2 linked regions of the Schizosaccharomyces pombe genome follow. The protein of the gene in region 2 interacts with the protein of the main gene of each other region in a biochemical or structural test. Each region holds a gene or a part of one and is shown on either strand. Other genes may lie near its edges.

What was found. Proteins that work in one complex are often made in the same cells at the same time.
Region 1: the proteins of sid2 (region 2) and cdc11 form a complex in vitro, tested with the Schizosaccharomyces pombe proteins (3 studies listed by BioGRID, with this or other methods).

What each region holds. Positions count from the first base shown.
Region 1 is NC_003421.2:2,048,630-2,056,513, forward strand, and holds cdc11 (SIN component scaffold protein cdc11), read right to left. Parts: upstream 3,975-7,884; 5' UTR 3,924-3,974; coding exon 786-3,923; 3' UTR 501-785; downstream 1-500. Other genes in the region: protein mug33, read left to right, coding at 1-317; serine/threonine protein phosphatase PP6 catalytic subunit Ppe1, read left to right, coding at 4,989-5,906. UniProt on the Schizosaccharomyces pombe protein: Essential for the onset of septum formation. Involved in the organization of astral microtubules during mitosis. Acts as a bridge between sid4 and the other SIN proteins mediating their association with the spindle pole body (SPB).
Region 2 is NC_003424.3:219,506-228,204, forward strand, and holds sid2 (serine/threonine protein kinase (NDR family) Sid2), read right to left. Parts: upstream 4,449-8,699; 5' UTR 4,348-4,448; coding exon 2,524-4,347; 3' UTR 2,189-2,523; downstream 1-2,188. Other genes in the region: cfh1 (chitin synthase regulatory factor-like Chr3), read right to left, coding at 1-1,950; dnf2 (phospholipid-transporting ATPase), read right to left, coding at 4,891-8,699. UniProt on the Schizosaccharomyces pombe protein: Part of a signaling pathway. Required for initiation of medial ring constriction and septation.

The sequences.
Region 1 (7,884 bases), on a different chromosome or scaffold from region 2:
TTTCCGAGGATGATGGTCTCAAGCGTGGAGGCTCTGTCTCAAAATTGAAGCCTACTTTTAGCAACGATAGTCGTTCTCTGTCTTCCTATGCCCCAACTGTTCGTGAGCCCGTTCCCGTTCCGAAATCTAACTCGGGCTTCCGCTTTCCGTTTATGCGCAATAAGCCTGCAGAACAGGCTCCTGAAAATCCGTTTAGAGATCCTGAAAATCCCTTTAAAGATCCCGCTTCAGCTCCAGCTCCAAATCCATGGTCGATTAATGATGTTCAAGCCAATAACGACAAGAAGCCCAGCAGATTTTCATGGGGCCGCTCGTAAATTATCGACCAATCGAGTTTTATCTATCATTTATCATCTCTACATGTTTTCTAATTTCACTTTCAAAGCATTTTTTAACCGTCCCCCCTTTACCTTTTTCCTTTATTTAGTTGATACTTATATGGTACATATGTGTGTGTTTAATGTCACTGTTTCTCAATAGAATTTATCTGTTTTAAGCTAGTTGAATGTAAGAAGAGTTGGAGGGGTTTTCTTTTATTTTTTATTCTTTCAATAGGGTTCTTTTTCTTTTTTTTTAATATATATATATTTTTAGACGACCTTCACGTTTCATTATGCTTATTCATTTTGTATGTGCCATCCAGAAATCGAATTATTATTTACACTATGGTAATGGCGAGTATTATGGTGTATTATGTATTGTGATTATTAACCTTTACACAACAGCGAAACAATCTTGCTATTTGAAAGGTAAAAATGTTTCAAGCTATATCTTCACAAGTCATACTAGTTGGATGATTTGGTGAATGCAGCGCGAGATGATTGTGAAACATCAGATCCATCCAACCATTCTAAGTGTGGACATGCCAATAAAATAGCTTCAGCATACATTTTTCTTCTTGTTCTCCATGCCTCAGACAAAGTGGAACTAAAGGCCAGCTCTTTCTCCTGCCATTGCTTTTGCGGGTCTTCTTTTCTATGATGACCTTTTTGGTTGATACTTTGTTGGTATTTTGAGGCTGCAGAGAGCTCATAAATAGAGTCGTCAATTACGGGATAAATGTTGAAATTAAGAGGATTCATGCGCAGATCCAGTACGTTTAACTGTTTCAGGTTTGCCAATATATCACATAAATTTCGCATCTTTTTGATTCTATTTCCCACTAAGTAAAGTCGGTGGATCATTTGCAATGGTTTCAGCGACTCTATGTCTGATATATAGTTATGTGATAAGTCCAATACACGTAAATTGGGCATACTGGTCGCAATGTATTTAGGTACTTCTTTGAGCTGAACGTTTGCAAGCTCCAGATACCTCACTCCCAGAAACATGTGCTTACAATCAAGAGTAACGAAGGTGTTATTCGATAGGTATAGATTTCGAATATCTAAAGAGGGTTGAATGACAAAATTGGAGGCTTCAGGATCTTGAGTCCTGAACGAAAAATTGACTAAGCGTTTTAGTCGACGGATGTCAGGGGGACGATTAAATCGATTAAGGTCCATGTATAAAGTTCGTAAATGAGGAAATTGATCTACCTCAAGTTGATGTATGGCGTTGTTGCTGATGCGTAAAATTCGCAAATGAATCATTGGTTGGCTAGCTTTCAAGTTGGTTAGTTTGTTATTGTCCAATTGTAAAACCATAAGGTTTTGAAGCGAACTTATTTCTTCGATTTCTTCTATTTCGTTATTTCCCAAGAGCAATTCCTCAAGACGATGAAGATTGGAATTCGTAAATGACAATTCTTTAATCCTGTTATTGCAAGCGCTTAATTTTAGCAATCCATCCAAATGTTGAATCCCATCTAAACTCCATAGATGATTACTGTCAACTTTCAACTCACGAAGGTGAATTAGAGAAGAAAGACCAGTAAGGTCCTCTAGTTGATTATATGATATGTCCAGATATTGTAGGTTTAATAGGTTGGAAAATGAAGTCAAACTTGACAATCGATTTTCAACAGCATTCAGGTCTCTTATCGTAACGGGGCATCCTGTTAAGTAAGCAATTTCATTTCCTTCCAACGTGAGCTCTTCAATAGAGGGACAGAGTTCAGAAAGTCCAATCAAGGAATCCAAATGTCGTCTACTGATGTCTAATTGTATAATCCTTTTCCAGAAAGGCTCATATGGTTCAACATCAGAAAGAATTTGAATTATGGATTGACGAGATACTGAAAAACTATATTCAGCATCTTTGTCGGCTTTACTTTTCAATCCAGAACCTGAAGAAATAAAAGGAATTGGTGACCCATTTTCATACCTGCCATTAAACATTTCATCAAAGCTCTCATTTTGTAAGGATAAATCGTGAAAGGAAGATAAAATTTGCGGAGCGTTTTCGCTATTGTCTCTTAATGAATGCTTAGGAAATTCGGATTGAGCAACATTTTGCTTACGCAAAGGAAAGGAATGAGGTTGTTGCTTCTCCAAATTGTTTGGATCATTGTTCGCTTGATGTCTGGTGGATGCCGCTTTAAACAGTATTGTACGCTCAGGATGCGAAAGACTAGCATCTTCGTCGGTTTCAAAATCAAAGCCCAAGTCTGAATCATGACCTTTTCTCCGCCACCGATTGTGTATCCTGTCAAATTCCATGGAGCCTTGAGTTGTATCTATGCCTTCAGGAAGATCTGCTGGCGTTATAACCACCATATTGGGATAATCAGACACTTTTCTTGAGCTTTGAGCAGAGTGACTTCTTCTGGTTTTAACACTGGAAGTTTTTAGCGTTGATTTGGGAGAGCTATTTAATCGGGCAGTCTTGGAAGAGGATTGTGAAGAGCCAACATCAATTTCCCGAAGTGGCATTTTATCGGTCATATATGCCTGGCGTTGAGGGGAGGAAGATGCGGATGGAAAGGAATCATCATTATCATTGAAAATTGAGGTAACCCTTTTCATACTTTGAAGACTTTTTAAATGAAGTTGATCACTTAAGGAGGGAAATGCATTAGAGCTATCTTCTTGACTTACTTCAACTGAAATTTCATCTTGTTCCTCCTCCTCACGAAGTCCGCTGAGCTTTCGAGGAAGAAAAATTGTAGATTCTCGTCCCGAATTAGGCATTCTTCCTCGCAATCTTGCCATGACTTCTTCAACCTCTTGATAGAGATCTTTGGTATTGAGGCTAGCCTTTCGTTCAGTTGTACGCATAGGTTTTTGTGGTCTTCGTGGTTCAGGGAGTGAAAATTGTTTTTCCCCATTTTCAAATGAATTGGACTTTACATCTTGAGTTAATTGATTCAAATGCTCACGAGTAAACGGATCACTAGCTCCTTGGAAAAGTTTAAGGGGGGATGTATTATTGGGCTTCAAGGAGGGAGAAGAAACAACGGATGAGGATGACGATGCATTGCTAGCATGGTCCGTATTTTGCTTTTCGTGAACCGAGTTAGACCTGGTATTAGATTGTTGACTTTTCAAGCTTCCTTCTGAGTATTTTTTGCTAAACTGAGAAGAGGAGATAGATTCTTTTTCGTAATCCTGTGAAACGAAAGGATCTTTAGAAGGAGAAGATTGCATGTTCGATACATTAGATAGTTTACCAACTGAAGAAGAACTACGCCTAGAAGAGTTATTACTGGACTTTTTGGACGGATTTTTTGTTGGAGACTTTGAAGGGGGGCTTTGTTTGCTGCTTTCTTCAAACATATTTTCCAAATCCAACCTTGCAAAAATATCACGAGCAACAGGGTTCTTTGCATTCACCTGTTTCCATTGAGGAACATCCGGAGCATCATTTCTTCCTTTCTTAAACGTTCCATGCTCTGTCGAAGTTCCTGAACTACCACGACCTGTAGATTGAGTATTGTTTACATTTGATGTGGTTGGTGGTTCACTAGAATTGTCTGACCCTTGTTCTTGTGGCTGCGGAATCCATTCTTCACTTAAATCATGTTCAAGCCATAACTGTTCCATGATTTCTGAAAAGCACACATACCTTCCATAGAAAAAAGAAGTTTTGTTTACGTCTATGAGACGCGACGGGATGTCGTGGTACTGGGACTCAATCACCCTTTTGCACAATTTGACATAGGATATTCAAGCGTATTCGTAATGCTGCTTATCATATTTTACGATATTTTCCACAATAAGGGTATAGCGTTATTTTGTTTGTTACGTTGAATTCCAGTAAATTTATTTATTCAGAAGGAAAATTATGGCCATAAGTATTTGAGGAAAAAATCAAAGCTATAAGTAGTTCTAAGAGTTGATAAACTTGTGCATGAGAGATTCACTTTATTCTGTTAACTCGGAAGACTCGATAAAAAACAATTAATAGCAATTGCTTCGGTAACCTTCTCTGTACGATTTTTCTTTTGCCTACGGTTTCGCATACTTGACGACGGAGATGCCATTTATATCAACAAGATATCATATATTCTTCATGACTTTGAAAGCTCTTTAGTAAGCAAGTTTTTCACAAGTTGGATCTACGCTTGCAACAATCTTCGAACTGATCCTAAATTCGCTTACTATATTTAAAGGTTATGGAAACGACACTTTTATTGTCGTTCTACAGACAACGTTTCTCGTTATGCTACTCTCTCATCTTCGCCTCATGACCTAGACTTTCAATCGTTTAAAACTCTACAAGTATTTATAATTTAAAGCAATCCCACCTCGGTAATTTAAGAAAATTTGCAACAAAATTTGACGTTAGCAATAAGGATAAAATGTGTTCGACGACATCCCAATTTAATCAGCGGACTATATAAATTTGTATATAAAAGGTCATTTCCACATGTAGACTTTTTCATACGACTTTTGAATGTACCAAACATCCATATCTGATAAAGACTTGGTACGCCGTTAATCGTTACAATACGTTAAACACCCCTCTTAAGTATTCAACGTACTAACTTACGTACTCTCCGCAAACAACATATTTAATTAGGAAGCCAATTTCTAAATAGGAAAGTATTGAGAAATAACTGTGTTTAATAATCTAGAAGAGATCCTTGAATAATTTGTGCTACAACGATGTTTGACTTGGATGAATGGATCGCTACAGTAAGGAAGTGTAAATATCTTCCAGAACACCAGTTGAAACGATTGTGTGAGATGGTAAAAGTTATTTTAATGGAGGAGTCCAATATCCAGCCTGTGCGGACTCCCGTTACTGTTTGTGGTGATATACATGGTCAGTTTTACGACCTTTTGGAACTGTTTCGAGTAGGTGGAGAATTGCCAAGCACAAATTATATATTTATGGGTGATTTTGTGGATCGAGGTTATTTTAGCTTAGAAACTTTTACGTTATTTATGCTTTTGAAAGCAAGGTACCCAGATAAAATTACATTGCTTCGTGGTAATCACGAAAGTCGCCAGATCACTCAAGTCTACGGGTTTTATGATGAGTGTCAAACCAAATATGGAAATGCAAATGTTTGGAAATATTGTTGCCAAGTTTTTGATTTTTTGACTTTGGCAGCGGTTATCGATAACAAAATTTTATGCGTGCATGGTGGATTATCTCCGGAAGTTCGCACATTGGATCAGATTCGTATTCTTGCGCGTGCTCAAGAAATTCCCCATGAAGGCTCATTTTGCGATTTGATGTGGTCTGATCCAGAGGATATTGAATCTTGGACTGTTTCGCCTCGGGGAGCTGGATGGTTGTTTGGTTCTAAAGTTACTACCGAATTTAGTCAAATCAACGACTTGACATTGATTGCTCGTGCTCATCAACTTGTTCAAGAGGGCTACAAATATCATTTTGCCGATAAAAATCTTGTTACCGTTTGGAGTGCTCCCAATTACTGCTATAGATGTGGAAATGTGGCAAGTGTTATGAAAGTAGATGAATCTTTGGAACCGGAATTTCGTATTTTCTCGGCTGTTGCCGACGAAGATCGTACCGTTCCCCCTAGCAGAAAAAGAAGCGAGTATTTCATCTAACTTTGGTATGTGCAAGTCAAATATCTTGTTTTTTATGGCACACATATACCCCCTCAAACATGTAATAGTTTTTGTTTTTTAAAACGTAGCTTTTTTTACTTCCTTGTCCGACACTTTCTTTCTCTCTTCCAGTTCTCAACTTCCATATTTTTATTTCCGTTTGCTTTGCGCGTGAGGTATATTCTATTTTTCCTTGGCAGCTTGTTACGCAAAACGATATTATAAGTTACATGGGTTTGTTTTTTAATCTTTTTTTCCTAGCTATTTTCAGTCGCTATAGTTTAGATTGTTTCCCTTCAAAAAAGCGACTTGGTGTTTGCAATTTTATTTCACCTCACATTGTGATGATATTCCCTTAACCTTTTTTTCGCAATAGCATTGACTTGCGTTACCACACTGTTCCAGCAACATAAAGTTACTTAGTGCCCAAAAATTCTTAATGATCCCTTCTCCATAATTTTTGTTTCCATTACTACGCGTCCATAAAGCCAATAATCGCATGTTGCAGTGCTTGCCTTGTCACTCTTTTGTCAAGAACGTTATACATAATTCCTCTCGGGTTTGCGTCGAGCTTGCTTTAATTGGGGTTTCTTGGCATCTAGTACGATGATATGTATATCATGATTTTTCTCAGTTTTGTCAGTTAAGATTAAGCAAGCAAGGGTGATTTTTGATAATCAATTTCTTATATATAAGTTTAGTATGCATTATTATATCTGTACAGTTCTTTGGACAAATTTTCTTGATAATATCTCTGCCGATATATCGTTTCTGTTTCATGCTTCGCTTCTCTTACTTTCTACTTACCTTTGTAAAATAATGTTTTGCAAATTGTCGCTTGCTTTGCTAAGGAAAGTCAGTCAGTAACATAATTTGCAGTTTTAATAAGCACCTGTTCGATCATTGCACAATTTTTTGTTCGTTTGACCGGATTTCGTAGTATTTGTATTTTTTTTAAATCATTCTTATTTACGAAAAGAAGAAGGAGTGGTTTGTTTGTTTTTGAAGTTGATAAATTTGTCTACGAGAAGAAGAGGAGGGATATTCAGCGTGCGAAAATTGATGCCTGAAAGAGACTAATTGTCTTCATGTACTCTGATTATCCCAAATTGTGTTATACAGTGCATACATGGAGAATATATAAAGCTTTTTATGTATCTTTTTAAGATGTCTTCGATACAGTGATGAGATGAGTTGAAATTTTTTTTATGACCTCTCTGAATATGGCCTGGTTTTTCTTTTTTTCCGTTGAGGACATGGCATTTTTCTTGCGTCTGAATGCTGGATTTAAAATGATCAGTTTTATGTGTGTTATCAAGTGGCATTGATATTGGATTTGCTGGTTTATTTGAAAATGAGAGATATTGCGAGAATTGGGATCTTTTTATTCGAATTCAGTTAAACTTGTTTGTTGAAAAAAATTGGTAAAAGCAAACGGACAATTTATATTTTTCTAACCCCAATTCTAGGGTTTTGTTGAATTGAAAAGAAAATTGGGCTTTCCGAAATTTGCAAACGCTCATCGATCTATGATCTTTTTCATTTATTTTCTATTTTCATTTTCTTAAATGTCTTTGCTATCATTGAAGTAAAACCGTTTTCAGTTGCATCTTGTTTTACAAGCTTCTTTCCATATCCTTTTCACTTGTGTTCTACAAAGGTTGTTTATTCTTGTAAATAATTTAAAATAGTTTGAAACGAGCCATTTTCAATCAAACTGCCCGGACTTGTGATCGTGTTTATGACTGTGTGTCTAGTGAGCTAATGTTTCGCATAGGGCTTTTATCGCACACAATTTTCATGTTTAACTATATATAACTTTTACGAATCCCCTTCTACAACGTTAGTAATGCGCTGGTAAATCAAAACCATGAAATTTTGGATATTACAGAACATTTCCCATTCTATTTAAGTGCAACACTGTAAAACATGTCTATGTTACATGCATCAAAAACGATGCTTCTTTCATTTGATTTAT
Region 2 (8,699 bases):
CTGACTGTGAAATTGTCCTATTAAAAACAGAGCTTCGGGTACAGTATTCTGGGTTTTGCTAGGATAAGCATTCTTTTTTAAAAGTTCAACAGCTCTGGTTCGATAAACATTGATTCGAGTATTATAACTAGCCTGGTCGGGAGCTAAGCTCGGCTTGTTTTCTAAAGTTTCTAATGCATTCAAATAAACTTTTGCCAACTCAACTTCGTCATCAGGTGTGATTTGAGATTTTTGGCGAAGACGCTGTTCTTCTTGCATAGCGTCTCCGTGCGTCACAATTTTTGGTGACGGAATCATCAACTTATCATCAGGATGACAAGGAATCGCATCCTTCGTCTTTTCTTTTGCTTCTGCACCCACTTCAAAAATAGCGGGTGAAGAAGCATTACTGTTAGACATCATAGATATATTCCTTTCAAACTTGGAATTAGCAACCTTGGATGATACATTAGCAACCGATGTATTTTTGTGATTACCAATAGACTTATTACTTTGCTGTGGAATAGGGGAAAACGAAGGTGTCACAGCTAAGTTATGTGAAATCGGTGTGCTATCAGCACGCATTATCGGGGAAGAAACAGAAGGGAGAGGACGAATGTCAGAAACTAACCCATGGGTTGTGTGTACCGGAGGAATTGGCGATAAAGGACTTGTTTGACCGTGTATAGAAGTAGGCATTGGTTTAATTGCCTTAGGACGTGCAAGGTTTGTAGGATATGAAGGTAAATTATTAACAGTTGGGTTTGTGCGATTATTATCATAACCTTCGGGAGAGTTATTATTCGAGTTCCTCGAAACATTTCTACGATCAAATGTAGGAGCAGGAACCTCAACTGGAGAACGAGCTGGTAGCATTACCATTTGAGAATGTGGATAACGAGGTGGTTGTTGAAGTGTAAGCAAATCATCATTTCGAGGATTTTTCAAAGTTTCGGATGATTTTAAGTCATTAGAAACTGAAGGAAGCGAACGTTCATCGCTTTCTAACCCGAATGAATCTGTATTCGAGTCGGTTGATGAAAAGTGACTTTTTGAAGGGAGGTGTCCAGAGTTTTCATAAACTGGTCCCAAATGACGATGAGCAGGTTCTGCATCTGACGAAGCATTAGAAACTGTATTTGTGATGGAGTCACTTTCTGCTCCATCTTCTTCCTCCAAAGTTTCTATTCGAGAGTTACTCTTAAGCTGATTGTCTTCAAGTACAGTATCGTCATCCTTGTAATAGTTATCTAAGAAGTCATCAAACCCACCGTATGGTATGTAACTCATACGACGCTGTACACGACTTATAGAATTAACACGTGGAGGTGCCATATATTTTCTATGAGGATCCGGTTGTCCAATCTCATCCTTTCCATCATCTAAATTGGTCATTGGCGTTGGTCGCGGAATAGAAACCAAAAAATCTTCTTTCTGCTCATGATTTATTTGTATTGGGGCATCTTGCCGATCCAACTTTAAACTAGGTGAAGGCAAAATAGGAGAAGCCTGTCTCAAATTAGTGTTCAGCTTTAACCCACGGTTAACTACACGTTTGCTTGTAGGAGCAGGTGCAGCTGGAATTTTATACTGTGGCTGTGGCTCCGGCTTGACCGGTATGGTTGCACGCGGCAATTTGTCTTTGAAGGTATCTTCACTAACAACAGGCCGGGATATTTTTTTCTTGGAGAATTTCAATGCTGAAGGTGGAGTACCCATTGTAGCGCTCATTATACTAGCCCTGTTCGCGTCAATCCTTGAAGACAGGTCCAAAACATTCGTATACACTGGTTCATGGCTCAATGTCGGATATCTCGATGTAGGACGAAATTGAAGAGTAGGGGAGGATGAAGAAGCTGTGTTACCGCTTTTTAAAAAAGCTGGGGTACCCTCTGTTCTTTTTCCATTATTCGTTGCGAATACCAACTTTTCCTTCTCATACTTCCTCCGAGAGCTATGTGAATCTTTCATTAACAGATTAATTTACGAGTGAAATAAAGAGCAAAAGGTAGACGCTTTAGGAGGAAAGCAGTAAGAAACGAGGATAATGAGGTATCGCAGTTTGATGAATGTTACAGCTCTTCTGCTGTTGCCAACAAAACGAATATCTTACAGCTCACTAAACAACAAATAATACACGAAAACAAAAATTTTCCAAAATAGTAAAAATGGTTCAAGATATTAAATTGCAGATAGTGTCTATTTCCCTATCAAGTAAATGATTTACATAATTTATCTGGTAATTGCAAGTTCTTCTATATAAATGGCGAAAGCTGAATATTGACGAATAAAATAGTGGAAGATAAATAAAAATATAATATAATATAATGAAAAAGGATACTTCCAAATAAACATCATAAAATTAAAGTGATAACTTTCGCAAATTGTAATGTAAATGCCGTTCGAAAGTGAAATGCAATAGTAAAAGACAGTACTGTAAATGTCAAAACATCAAAAGCGAAGCTCAGTATCTTCGAAAATAGTTAATAACAGTAGATGTCTTATAAAAATACCATGAACAAGGGTCATTAAATTTCCCTTTGATTATAATAGAGTCCCGAAAGAAGGAGCAGAGAGGGGACTAGATAATGCGCTACTAGAGCTAGTAGGATGACTATTTTTTTGATGCCTAAAAGTGAAGCCGATAAAAGCATTGCGTTTAGGCTTATTAAATGTGTTAACCATATTAGCAATTGCAGCTTGTTTCTCATGAACTTCCTTATATTTAGACATATCATTTTCATTAGTGAAATCATCAAAATATCCTGCGTCAATCTCAGAATTAAGGTCGGGTACAAACGGAGGACGATATGCTGTACGAACATTTTTCCAATCAATCTTTGAGAAGTAAGGATGTTGCATGACTTGCTTAAGAGAACAAAAGCGATCCTTGGGATCAGTAATGCAGTGACATACAAAATCCCATGCATCATCTCTCCAGTTGAATTCCAAATCGCGGGGATCATCATAGTGAGGGCGTTGAAAACACTTGCGCCAATTCTTCAAGTTAGACCAGGTTTCATTAACATTGGAGCCAGAAAATGGAGGAAAACCAGAAAGACATTCATACATGATGCAGCCAAGAGACCAATAGTCTACAGAGTGGTTGTAGTTTTCACCTCGTAAAACCTCTGGGGCCATATAATCAGGAGAGCCAACTACTGAATGAGCGTATACAGGATCCTGAGATAAAAGAGTTCGAAACACTTGTCGCCTTTCCCTCATGCTCCTTTCGGGAACAACGACATTGTTGACTTCTTGAAGACGAATCTTCATACTTTCAATCTTCTTTTTGCTGATTATTCCAGAACTTAAACCAAAGTCCGTCAATTTAATATGGCCGCTAGCTCCAACCAAAAAGTTTTCTGGCTTAAGGTCACGATGGATGTAACCAAGTTGATGCAAAGCATCAATAGCTAGGAACATTTCTGTAGCATAAAACTTGGCATGATGATCCCTTAAAACACCACTGTTGCTAAGCAAAGTACGGAAATCACCACCAGGAACAAATTCCATAGCGAGATAAATGTTTGAAGTATCCTGAAAAGCATAAAGTAGACGAACTAACCATTCCGAGTTGGCTGTCGTAAGGATATCACGCTCAGTAAGAACATGCCTGATCTCATCCATTTTATGCAAAACCGATTTATTCATGATTTTCAAAGCAACAATCTCTTTGGTGTCACGCTTCCTAGCCAACCAAACAGAGCCATATCCACCTTGTCCGACTTGAGTGATGGTCTGGAAATCTCCGTGACTAATGCGTGTCCTCCTTTTCCTTAGATATACTCGTTCACGTCCATTGTATCGCTTCACTAGCTCGTCTCTTCGTGAATCAGGCTCTTTAAGCAACTGCTCTTCAAAAAGACGGGCTCTTTGCTTGCGGGTATAAAGATAATGAAGCTGCTCAAAGTAATGGTCTAAAAAGAACATTTGACAAATGGTTGCCATTCTCTTTACCTTAGGTTGGACCACTTTCTCCATTTCTTCAACTGACAAGTTCATAGATCCATTTTCCCATCTTGGTGAACCCGTTGAACTTCTATCTGACCAATGATTATTATCCTTGTAGCTCAACTCGCCAGATCTATCAAGACCACGCGGAATAGGGCTTGCAATCGGTAACTTACTAATGTGTTTTGAATGCATATGATTGTCAGGATAATTTTCCTTCGAAGATGCCACTGGGGAAAGCTTCATACTATTAAATTGATCCTCCAAATTCCTTTCTTTATCATTATTCGACAAGTTGCCGGGTTCAAAAAGACCATGTCGCTTCATATATGCATCAAATTTCTTATCTGCTTCAGAACTTAGCTGAAGTCCTAAATCACCTTCAACTGGTGACATATCATTAACACGATTCATTATTAGTTTTCTTTAAATATGTATCGTAAACATCCAACGTTTTGGTCCCCAAAAAATGCAAAACTCCTGTCAATAATAACCTTACGTGTTTTGTTTACGGCAGAGTACATTTCCATCGGAGTTAGGTATCAGCCATTTACCCTTAGCAACCAAAGTTTGATTACAGCAGTCGCTGGAAATTTCAAAACTTAAAAAACCAACCACCAAATTTACTACTTAGAACAAGATTGTTAAAAAGTCTGTTTTTATTATTTATCATACAAATGTAAACTAGATATAGTAAATTTATCTCGTTATTTTTAAAATGTACTGTGAATGCAAAATACATTTTAAATTTGATGCAATCTTTTGATTTCAGAAGAAAAATGTAAACGTTCATGTATTTTATTTAGTATGCAGAGATGTTTCTATAACATCATAATCATTATTCGATAATTCATCATTCTTTAGTATGAAAAGTTATGTTCTTAAGCATAGCGTAGAAATAGAATGGGTACACAGATTATCTTGATTAGATAATTCAGCTTATTAACTTGCCATTTTTTAAGGCCGTAACGGCTGTTCAGAAGAAGAAATGGAACCACGATGAGGCATGTATTCGCCTCTGTTAAGTATTTCATCAGAGAACACAGGAGAGCCCTCCAAGAAACTTGGAGTATATGACGGGGTAAAGCTTCTTGGCATACTTGATGTGAGTGTAAGCGAATTTGTGTCCAAACGTAAAGGTTCTTTCTTGGGTGTCGCCAAACTTGACGAAGATGCGTTGAAAGGGACCTGTAAAGTAGAAGATGCCCAATCTGGAGATTGTTCGGCATTCTCAATCTCCTCTTCTTCATCCAATTCATGAAGGCGTTTAGTGCGGTAACTTTCGCGAATGATATCCACATCATATGGCCAAAATAACTTTTGCGTTGTCATAAACAAAAACTTCGGGAAAAGACAACTTACAATCGTTCCACATAAAACAGCCCAAAAATTTGGAGTTCTGAATATACGCGAAGCAGATTTATAAAATTCATATGTATAAAGGCTTTGAGAGTAGACGCCAGTCCAAAACCAAAATGTCAAACAACTGAGCGCCCATAAACCAATTGAAAACACATCCCAATTTGATTGATTCAGAATAACATACGTGTCGACAACCATAATAGTTGGCGCAGCAACGTAAACACCTAAATCTTGTACAGCCATAGTATCACGACCATTCTGAGCAGCTGTGGTCACATTGTTAATCACAAGAAAAGAGAAAAAGAAACAGATTACAGACTGATAAAACCCATCAAGCATATATCCAATAAAGATTTTCCTGGCTGAATTTAATTGCAAAATACCACGCTTGTAAAGCTGAGGGATCCGAAGCGACAAATCAGCATTAACATCTTGATCATAGACACCCATGACAATGACAGGTAACGATGAAAAAATCAAGTTAAACAGCATAACATAAGTATAATCGAAAAGGTAATTTGCGTCGAAATTGTTGTAAATCTGATACCAGAATAAAGTAAATGTCCATACAACACTCTTGTAGAAAAAGTTGTTTACCATTTCAGCAACACGATTATAATCCCAACGGCCATGAACAAGAACCAGCTTGCTCAAAAATCGGAATTGACCGATTGCATAATCCGCAGACATAGCTGCAGCACGGCCTTCTTCACCAACAATACCAACACCAATATCAGCTTTTTGAATCATTGCAACATCATTCGCACCATCTCCAATGGCTAACGTCATTACTTCAAGGCTTTCGCGTACCAATTGAACAACATCTGCTTTTTGAGCCGGACTAACACGGCAACACAAGACAGCCTTGCATCTTTTACAAAGTAGCAGAAACTTGGTTCTCATTGGACCATCTAAAACTCGTTTAAGTACTGATCCATCAATAACTAACGCATGAGAGCCAGAGGGAGTGTCATGATCCTTCTTAGCAGCTTCAAGTTCTTCAACTGATCCAGACAAACCAAAATAACGATATAAGTAGTCAGCTAAAATAACTTCCAACTCTGGTGTTGACACTTCTTGGTCCACATCAAACTTAATCATGTCCATGCCAGCGTCCAATAAATTGCAAGAAAAACCAATATTAATAGCAGTCTCCATTTTGTCTCCGGTCAGAACCCACAATTTGATACCGGCTTGAGCCAATAATGCAATTGAATCAGGTACTCCTTCTTGTAATCGATCCTCAATAGCTGTTCCACCGAGCAAAGTAAGATGAGATTCAATCAAATCGGCAACTTCCTCTATTTGCTCCTCACGGTTTTCAATTGCAGATGCGGCGATGTCATACTTTTCTTTCCATTCGTAATATTCCTCTTCAGTAAGCTCTCTTTTTGCGATACAAAGTGTTCGTAAACCTTCCAATGCAAAAATTCTGAGATGCTCAGAAGTGGTTTTACGTAATTCAACTTGTTCATTTGGTTCCAAACGTTCGAAAATAATGCTATCAGCACCTTTGCAAATAAGCACATAACGGTTATCGGGTCCTTTAACGATCACACTCATTCTCTTCCTCGCTGAGCTGAATTCAATAGTATCCATCAATTTGAATCTTTGGGTTTCTCCAAGAGCACGAGTAACCATAATGTCTCTCCGCTGGTCCAAAAAAACAAAGCCAACGTCGCGGGCGGTACCCACGAGTGCAGCTTCATCTGGCGATTGTGCTTTATAGACAATCCGGTCACCAACTCTGTCTGCAACTACGCTATGACAAAGGGCCAATGCCAAGAAAAACTCATAGCATGCAAGTGACTGTTCTTCACCAGCTTTGCCAGCAAGGTCATGAACAAACTGCGACGAGATGAACGTGAGGTTATCATCCACAAGGTATTTGTTGTCGTGCATATTTCGCATTTGAGAAATCATTTGCATTCGGTCACGTTCAATGAAACTTTGCTTTTGAAGAGTCAATTCTTCAGTATCCTTTCCCTCGCGTTTTGCCATTCCCGCCATTGCTTCGGTAAATGCCTCACCATACGCAACTCCGTTGATCGTACATTTTTTAAATTCCATAACATTTTGAGTAAGAGTACCTGTTTTATCAGAAAAGATATATTCCACTTGTCCAAGATCGTCAGAAATATTCCAAGATTTTGGAGTACAAGCATACTTTAGCTTCTTATAATACATGTCTTTGTCGAAATATATAAAAATTGCCTGGATGGTCTTAACGATTTCAATTGAAATATAAAGCGAAATGGGCACCAAGTTTTGAAAAAGAATAACACCAGTGAAAAACGTGACGACACCATCTTTGGCAGGAGAACCACCAATGGAACCAAACTCAAAGTAATACGAGGAGCGAGAATGACCACGCCAGGCGATTCCTTCGACAACTGCGCAAACAAAACACATGGAGAAAAGGATAATGAAATTAAGATAAACATTCCAATTAAGATTTCTAGTAATGCGACTACGCTTTAATGGCGGAGCACCAGAGTTCAGCATAATCTTGGTATCATCGCCAGTAAATACGACAACTCCAATCACCCATTTTGTATTCCTAAGGACACAACCACGCAATAGCATTGAGTCCAGACTGATGGGCTCTGAAACAGTTTGGGAGGTATCAGAGCCACCTGCTTCAGAATGGACAAAGGACTTACATGCTCCATTATACTCATAAAGGTTAGCGTGTGGTGGTTCACTCTCTATCCAAAAACGACATCTCTCGCATGAGGCCTCGTCAACTACATTCTTTCCGCACGTTAGAGCGTGACGCATTTTTAAGTTGGTTTCACCATCAAGATTCTTGGTTTCAATGTAACAAATACCTTCAGGGTCGGATGAATTAATGATGACTATATCTGCGGGAATTTCATCATTATCCATAACTTTTACAAAATCACCTACACGGACATCCTTCCAGTATGTTTTTTTGAAATGGCACTCGCCAGTAGCTTCGGCTTCATAATCAATAATATCCATGGGACGCGATTGGAGAATAGTTGCAGTCCCATCTAAAGCACTTAAGGGGACTTTGCCCTTTGAATCTTCAAACGATCGTTTTGCCTCAAAAGACTCTCTGAAAATAGAATCATAACTAGGTCTTGATTCAGAACCTGCCATATCTTCCAAAGGTACAGCGTCATTCAAACGCTTTGCTCTCTTCTTTTCCTCCTGCTTTGCTAGAAATACGCGAAAAAGAGCGGAGATCCGTTTTTTGAATCGTCTAAAGTAGCTGATGTATTCAGTACGAATGTTTGGGTTTTGATAATGGCTTAAACGAAGGGTAGGGGTGTTATTTAAATGAATATCAAGCATGGTTCGGCGAAAATCTTCAATAGCGTCTTTAACAGCGGTAATACCGACAACAACAATTAAAGGAACAGCAGCCAATCCAGGAT